Saccharomyces cerevisiae S288C: one gene and its partner. The gene in region 2 interacts genetically with the main gene of each other region. Each region holds a gene or a part of one and is shown on either strand. Other genes may lie near its edges. The genes, in order: EGH1 and FPT1.

The links.
Region 1: mutations in FPT1 (region 2) and EGH1 together harm fitness more than expected from each alone (negative genetic interaction), as found in Saccharomyces cerevisiae (one large-scale study listed by BioGRID).

What each region holds. Positions count from the first base shown.
Region 1 is NC_001141.2:368,989-373,714, reverse strand, and holds EGH1 (hydrolase), read right to left. Parts: upstream 3,012-4,726; coding exon 717-3,011; downstream 1-716. Other genes in the region: DNA primase subunit PRI1, read left to right, coding at 1-638; actin cytoskeleton-regulatory complex protein PAN1, read left to right, coding at 3,807-4,726. UniProt on the Saccharomyces cerevisiae protein: Ergosteryl beta-glucosidase involved in the ergosteryl beta-glucoside (EG) catabolic pathway and vacuole formation via hydrolysis of EG to generate glucose.
Region 2 is NC_001143.9:461,052-464,691, reverse strand, and holds FPT1 (chromatin-associated RNAPIII regulator FPT1), read left to right. Parts: upstream 1-1,995; coding exon 1,996-3,057; downstream 3,058-3,640. Other genes in the region: PRY2 (sterol-binding protein), read right to left, coding at 1-733; TOF2 (Tof2p), read left to right, coding at 3,453-3,640.

The DNA of each region.
Region 1 (4,726 bases), on a different chromosome or scaffold from region 2:
ATACTGACAAGCGATTGGCTTTGAAGAGGCCTTATCACCCTCATCTTGCTCGTTCTTTGGAGCAATTGAAACCTTTCTTTGTCAGCATTATGCTCGAAGAGCAAAATCCTTGGGAAGATGACCAACATGCTATCCAAACTTTATTGCCTGCATTATATGATAAACAATTGATTGATTCATTAAAGAAGTATTGGCTGGACAATCCAAGGAGGTCAAGCAAAGAGAAGTGGAATGATATAGATCAGATAGCTACATCGCTCTTCAAAGGCCCCAAGCAAGACTCTCACATAATTAAGTTACGTGAATGTAAGGAAGATCTCGTATTGATGACTCTTTATCCGAAGCTGGATGTGGAAGTTACAAAGCAAACAATTCATTTGTTAAAGGCCCCTTTTTGTATTCATCCTGCTACGGGGAATGTCTGTGTGCCTATTGATGAATCCTTTGCACCTGAAAAAGCACCTAAGCTAATTGATCTTCAAACAGAAATGGAGAAAAATAATGATGTTTCATTAACAGCTTTACAACCTTTTATCAATCAGTTCCAAGCATATGTGAGTTCTCTTTTGAAAAATGAACTGGGTTCAGTGAAAAGAGAACGTGAAGATGATGATGAACCGGCTTCTTTAGATTTCTGATGGTGAAATCTTTTTGTAACAATAAAAAGGGTGTATATATATATATATGACTACTATAGCTTTTGGTTCAATTTTTGTTTAGCTGATAACGCATTCCGCTGGTAAGTCATTCGAAGTGTCACTTCCAGGGGTGTTGGGCCTTGACTTCGATTTTGCGCAAATTTCAATGAACTGATGGCCAGGCTCGTGAAACCATTCAAGAACCTGGTAGTCAGTGTTATAGGTATAATGACCTGATGATGAACGAATTGACAACCGGCTTGGTGTAAAATGGTGCCGTGGTATAAAAATATATGTAGGGACAGTTATCTGTTCAGGTGTCGTTTTACCAACTAATTTCAAAAGGTAGGATTTATTACATAAGTTAAACTCAGCAAACTCAAATCTTCCGTGAATTTGTATGGGGAATGGTCTCATTATAGCATCAAGAGCTCTGAACCCTGACAAGTCGCTCTTTAAAGTGCACGAGGGACTATCCAAATCTAAATGATTATCTGGTTTTATGAAACTTGGTGGTTGTGAAGAACCCGATTTAGATGTAGAAGTGGATACCGAAGCCACAGTAGAGGCTGGAGATGGCTCAGGAGTAGGAGTTTTTGCTCGGGTATCGTGATAGAGTGGTTTGTCATCCGGGGACCAAATCGAAAAATCTTCATTGTTCCAATTGTCACCCCATATATGTGAATTAATACTGCAATAACACCATAAGGTGTACGAAAGATTACTTCCTTCTAATGCAAATCCAAGAGCATCCAATGCAGCGGTCTGTGAAGAATAGTCATTTGTAATATATGCTTTCTTGTCGTCCATGTCAAATGGAATACCAATTTCGGTGAAGAATACAGGTACTTTTTTTCCAAGCATGGATTTAGCGTCCTTTTGCATTTCTGATAATTGCTTCCTAATGCATTTCCGTATATTGTTTTCGCCAAGCACTACAGCAAAGGCAGGATTTGAGTATTTTTTGTTTACTAGTCCATAGGTGTCTATGCCAATTCGTTTATTCCATGTCTTATACATTAGTGTCATACCATCATAAAAATGACATGCACAAATCGTCCTATTGTCCAATATTTTAGAATTTTGTAAATTGGGTGGTGGCTTCATTACCGGCGGTTGGATTATAATAAACAATTCTTGATCGAATTCCCTAAACTTGTTATAAATTCCAGTGTAATAGTCAACAAAATGATTGTTTATAAATACCGTTGCATCAGGTTGGCTAAAGTAATTTGGTTTGAGTAAAACAGGGCGTTTACCATTCTGAATCTCCCAAACACCATGGAGTTTCCAAATGCAAGTGTCTGGTTTCCATTCAGGGTTCCTTTCCCAATTATACTTCGCATCTATCGCATCTCTTTCCTCTGCACTCAGCCAAGCTTTTTTGCCTTTGGGATTGATTGTGCACGGTTTTCCCTTAGAAAATCCAAAAAATGTCCTTTTATATTGATCTATTGTGCACTCAATACCTTCACCCAGCATAAAGCTTTGAAATGCCGTTGGCGTTTTGCCCAATTTCAAATTTCTCTCTTTCGGAATCACATCGAGATTTGTTTCACCAATGTAACCACAGTTTGGCTCGTTCATAGACTCTAATCCAATAATGCAGTTGCTCTCAAACAACTCAGGAGCCTTTTCTTTAATTCTTGCGCACAGTGTCATGATTGCATCATTAAACCTTCCTTGCAAGTAATCCTGTATGTTTTCTCCATTAATTGTGCACTTAGGAGCATATTGTTTCCCACCAAAGAATAACGTAAACATTGTTTGACACGCCAGTTTGAAGTAGTTTGTAGGCCAAACCATCTTAGGGTAGGACTCTTCATCTTTGCCAACTTCCCTGCCCGTTTTGGGGTCAATATAATAATTATGTAAGATTGCAGCATCGGTGGCCAGGAAGTTTGCAGGTTGAAACCCTGCACAGTATAAGGTCCATAGCGGTGCTCCAGATCCACCGCTAAACCTAGACCAGACGTCTTGGTGAGGGTCCAAATAAATGTACATACCTTGTTGTACGCTGTTAATCCTGGTTAGTACCTCGACGATATAATCCATATAGTCAAAATCGTACTGTCCTGGACCAGCATGTTCAAGAGATTCCCAGGTGAAGGGTAAACGAATGGTATTGTAACCCAGTGATTTCAATCTGATGATATGCTGTTCGATATCATCAAGAACTAAGGGGTGATTGATGAAACTGACTTTATCAGCATCCTCGAAAAACGTGTCATTTTCTATGGGAGCGTGGGTGGATAGGAATGGCTTTGCAGGGATTTTAACTGACGGATCCAAATTGACACCACGCAATTGGATCTCGTTGCCATCTTTATCGCAAAACTGACCGTCTGCAGAAATGTGTATTTTGGCAGGCATATGATCTGTTCTTATTAAATTCAAACAATTTAGGTACGAAAGAAAAAGAAATAAATAAATAAAAAAAGAGAAGAAAGGTTAAGAAAATAACTGTCAGTAGAATTATTGCGAAATATAGAATTAATATTAATTCCATTGTTAAGGTTTACCAGAGATATAGAAACCTTAAACGAAGGCAATATTCGAGCGGATATGAAAAAAATAAAATAAACATACTCCGATACGGGGAGTCGAACCCCGGTCTCCACGGTGAAAGCGTGATGTGATAGCCGTTACACTATATCGGATTATAATCTATATTTTTTCTACTTCGATCTTATGTACTACTAATTTGATAATTTTGGGTTTAATATGGTTTTTTACTGAAGTACCTGCTTACCAACAGTAGAGATATTTAACGAATGCTTTCCTAAGACGCTTTTTATGCTTCAATTGGGCAGATATTAAAAATTCATCAATTAACAATGTTTATTTGACAATCTGGTTCGTCAAAAAAAAAAAAAAAAAATCACGTCCAGATCTGTTAAACCTTAAAGGTAGGTGCTCACGATAACCGATTGATCTCTCAGTCGCATAGTAGCTATGTATACTCTGTTTATCAATCGCTTGTTATTATAAATTGGCTTGATCACATGACACGTCGACGATATTTTTTTCTTGTTAGGGGCAAAAGTTGGTATTGGAAGAAAAAAAGCATTAGAAAGCCATATAGATCTATTGGCGAAACACACGTCGAGAAGCAGGAAGAGGAAGAATCTATCAGCGACGCGAAATTGCTAATCTGTACAACTGAATATGTATAACCCGTACCAGCAACAGGGCATGGGTTACCAGCAGCAACAGCAGCAACAGCAGCAACAACCAAATGGATTCTACCCGCAGCAGCAGCAAGGTCAGTCTTCAAACCAGCCCCAAGGCCAGCCTCAACCACAACAGCAAATGGCGTTTAACCAGCCTCAGGCTACCGGAATTGGTGGGATGCCTCAAAGTTTTGGTAATTCTTTCTCAAGTATGCCACAGCAGCCCCAAACGGGTTACAATAATAATGGAAATAATGGTAGTGTATATGGTAATGGTAATTTTGGCCAACAACCCCAGCAGCAACAACAGCAGGCGAAACCGCAGCATACGGGATACGTACCAAATTCCAGTATGCCTATGATGAATACTACTGGCACCATGCCTCCACCTAATCCGGCTCAACAGCCTCAGCTACAATCCATACAACCCCAAGGAACAGGCTATTACCAAGCTGCTAATACTGCAAATGTACACTCAGTACAACCTTTGCAATCTCAAGGGACAGGATATTATGTGTCTACACCCAATTTGATCTCTTCTAATCAAACCCAGCAGCCCCTTCAGGCCCAGGGCACTGGTTATTATCAATCTCAACCTCAACAGGTGCCACCTCCTCAGCAAGCACAGTCCTTGCAACCTTTGAAGCCGCAGCAAACAGGATTTTACCTTCAACCGCAAAACCAAGCTCCCTTAGAACCATTAAAGCCCACCGCAACTGGCTTTGTCAACTCATTTGCCAACAACGGTCTAAACAATGATATCAAAATCCCTGCCATTAGATTGTCGTTTATTACTGCCCAAGATCAGGCAAAATTTGAGACTCTATTCAGATCAATTGTTACCAATGGTTCGAATACTGTTTCCGGTGCTAATTGTAGGAAAATTTTGATGAGATCCGGTTTGCCACCTTCTCA
Region 2 (3,640 bases):
CACCGTATGGACCGCCGGAGTGGACTAGGTTGCCTGAACAATCGTAGGAGTCAGCGTAGTTTTGTGCATATGTTGCTAGTGTGTCAGACCATGTCAAAGAACCGGTATCCTTGTGCAACGCCCTTTTAGTGTTGTGTTCGTTAACCATTGACGTTGAGAAATCGGAGCTTGAGGATTGAGTGCTTGAGGCGGTAGATTGAGTGGTGGTAGCGGTGGTTGGGCTAGCAGTAGTAGTTGGACTAGCGGTAGTAGTTGGGCTAGTGGTAGTGGTTGGGCTAGTGGTAGTGGTTGTTGGAGTAGTTGTGCTGGTAGGTTGTGTTGAAGATGTTAAAGTTGTGGTTACATCATCCTGTGTGGCACTTGCGGAGGTTTGCACCGCTTGTATGGTTGCAGTTGCTGTAGAAAATGCTTCAGATGTTTCTGTAGAGGATTCTTCAAATGTTGCAGATTCAGCCACGACAGCGCTTTCTTGGATAACGGAAGTAGCTATGCTGTCCACTTGAGCATTAGCAACCACAATAGGAGCTGATGTTGTGGCAACGGGACTAGCAGAAGCCGTTTGAGTGCCCTTGGTAATGAACGTCGTTAGAGTCTGGCCATTTTCTACACGAACTATACCTTGTACCACTACAGTGGCAGCTTGGTGGACATGTTGCGTGACAGTCACAGCAACTGGGGCAGATAAAGCGACAGATGCAGATGCGGCCAGTAGTGAGACTTTAGAAAATTTCATCTTTGTAAGTTTTATTAAAGGAATGGTATTGTTTTATGATGGGCTGTTTCGAGGAACGATGATACCAAGAGCCAACAGATCCATCACAGCAATATGTAACACTCTGCGACAAGCATATATATATACAAAGATCAAAAGCATTGCCTTTGAACGACGTCTATGTTTCAAAAACATTACATATAGAGAAGTGCGTGAGATACACGAAATGTACTGTAAATAGCACACATGTTTATTCCCGCTATAGGAAAGATGATCTATGGGCAGATCTCTCATTCGTTTCATAACGGGGTCCATTTCAGTGATGCGTTTTCTTTTTTTACACCTTTTCACGAGGCCGGCTCGATTTCATTTGGCATTTCGCGAATGTCGCCGCGAAAGTCTCGCGATCGATCGAGATGATGGCGCAGTGCAGTGCAGTCTATGTGATGAACAAAGACGTTCTCGAAGCACATCGCCAGGGTGCGGAGAACCGCTAAGACCCAGATGAGAGATCTCTGCAGAATTGCCAAGAATGCGCATGGACGTGAGCACAGGATGATAGTGAAAGAGGCGAGCTGAGCTTCGTTTTGCTCGAGGCTAGAACGACCCGAAACTGCCGCTTAATGATATGCTTTCTTTTACCCAATGCAGAACTAGAATGCGTGAGCGGGACTAGGAAACGTTCATAGCTAGCCCAAAAAAAAAAAAAAAAAAAAAAGAATCCAGTAATGGTAGAATTTTGATCTACAGTATGACGAAGAAGGTCGAGCCAGTTGGTCAAGAATTATAGCTCGCTCTCGAATAGCGTTATTTTGTCATCAAGTAATCACCACTGATAACATGAAAGTGGCCATCCATTCCACTTTCTGTTTTCTTTCTATTGAGTGGTCAGTTAATGTGCTACTTCGCTGAAAACTTCCTTGTTTTAGCATGTGGCATTCTCAGTGTACATAATGATTTATAGCTCAAAGGCTTTTAATGTTTAGGTAGTTACAGACCTTTTGCCGCCGTGAATTTTTGACGTCTTGTAGTGCTGTGATATAATTGGACTATAAATCATTACCCGGCCTTTTAAGGCATGAGTGGCGTTCCAACGTGCTGTCAAAACTATGAGACCAAAAACCAAAACACACCCCTAAGAAATGTATAGGGATTTATATCAGCATAAAGGTGCCATAATTAAAGAGATTTAGCCTGAACCCATTACTATTCTGTTACAGTTAAGTACTCATACAGACAGCTAGAAAAAGAAGAAGAAATACCAAGTACAAAGAAAGGAAACCATGTCCAAGTTAGAAACCGTTTACTTATACGCTGGTGAAGAACAACCACGTGTTAAATTGACCTGTATTAAGGAAGGTCTCACTTTAACTCAGGTTATCAAGTTCGTGCATTCTATTCAAGAATTGTACGGGATTGAGTTGCAAACTTCTGAGACCATAACAGAAAATTTGAAGATAGATTGTGCACCCGCATATTTGAAGCCGAATTGTATTCCCCATTTCTACATTCTCGAATATGAAGAAATAAGTGACACCTTTTTCATTTGGAAATCTGATGGTCGTTGGCAATTAAATAAGTTGTCTGCCTTGTTGTACGTGGATAACGACGCTAACGTGGTTAAGAACACTTCCTGGAAGGAGGTTTTCCAGAATGATCAACGATTTAAAAATTATGATAAACGGGCCTGGTTACAAAATTGTCTAGAAAAAATGAATAGAGATCTCTCAAAACTAAACGTTGAACAATTTTGGTCTCAATATGATAAAATATGTCAAAGCATTGCCAAACAAAAGAAAAAACAGGAACAGTTCAACATGGAGGTTTTCGATAACTTCAAAAATATTGTTTCTATTGCTATCATAAAGACCAAAGTTTTATCGAATAAGCGACTTTTGACAACAACTTTAAAAAATTATCATAACTCGATGAAGAAAAAGTATAACATCCAGGAACAAAATCTTAAGGAAAATAGTTTGGCATCGTGCTCAAACAATGAGCCTTCCGCATCTCTGGAAAGCGAATCAAGACATTTTTCTCCGGTAAATTCGCTGTCTCCTTCATCTTTGAGTACCGATGATGAGGCTGTCTCGACAGACTACATCTATAAAGGTCCTGAGTCTAAACCAAACGTGAATTTCATGCATTCAAGTGCTACAAACGATCTGATCAAGTCAAATTTTGAAAGCTATTTTAAATTGATGGCCGAAGACTATGAAACTTTTGACTTGAGAGCCTGGTCGAGACAAAGACCTCGAAAATTTCAGCTTGTGGAAAAAAAAAAAATCACTAAAAACCCTCCTAATAGCCATCATCCGCATAAAAATGGCAAAATATCATTTTAACTATTTCCGGGAAAACATGTCTTTTTATAGCATCTACATCCATTAAATCAAGAGAATAAAAGTAAAACTCCAAAAGTATGTACGTATATAGAACCAATTATTCAATCATTTATAGAAATGTGACCTGTTTTTTCTCTACTATTGTTACATAGGCATCACGAAAAAAAGTCGCATTATACGATACTGTTATATAATTTTTTTCATATTCTTCAGATCTCAAATGCAAGATGGTCCTAATTTGTTTGTTTGTTTATTTATTAGTTTCGCTGAAGAAGGAAAACAAGTCATTTTTGGTTAGCTACCCAATTATACAAGCATTCAATAAATACGCCAATCTTTTGCCACATTTCTTATAATATCCTTTGCCCTCCTTGGTGTTTGGTTCAAATAAGTAAATGATAAAAATGTGGAGGTTACAGATTGTACTGGTGCCGCCAAGTGCTCAAGATATTATCACATTTCTCGAAGCACGCTTGAATACTCCACAATCAGTGTCTCCTATGGTCCAGTATAATGAAGATATAATTACGCACAACAACAGTATCAATAACTGTAGCGACCCCTCTCCTACGAGCCCGTCTTC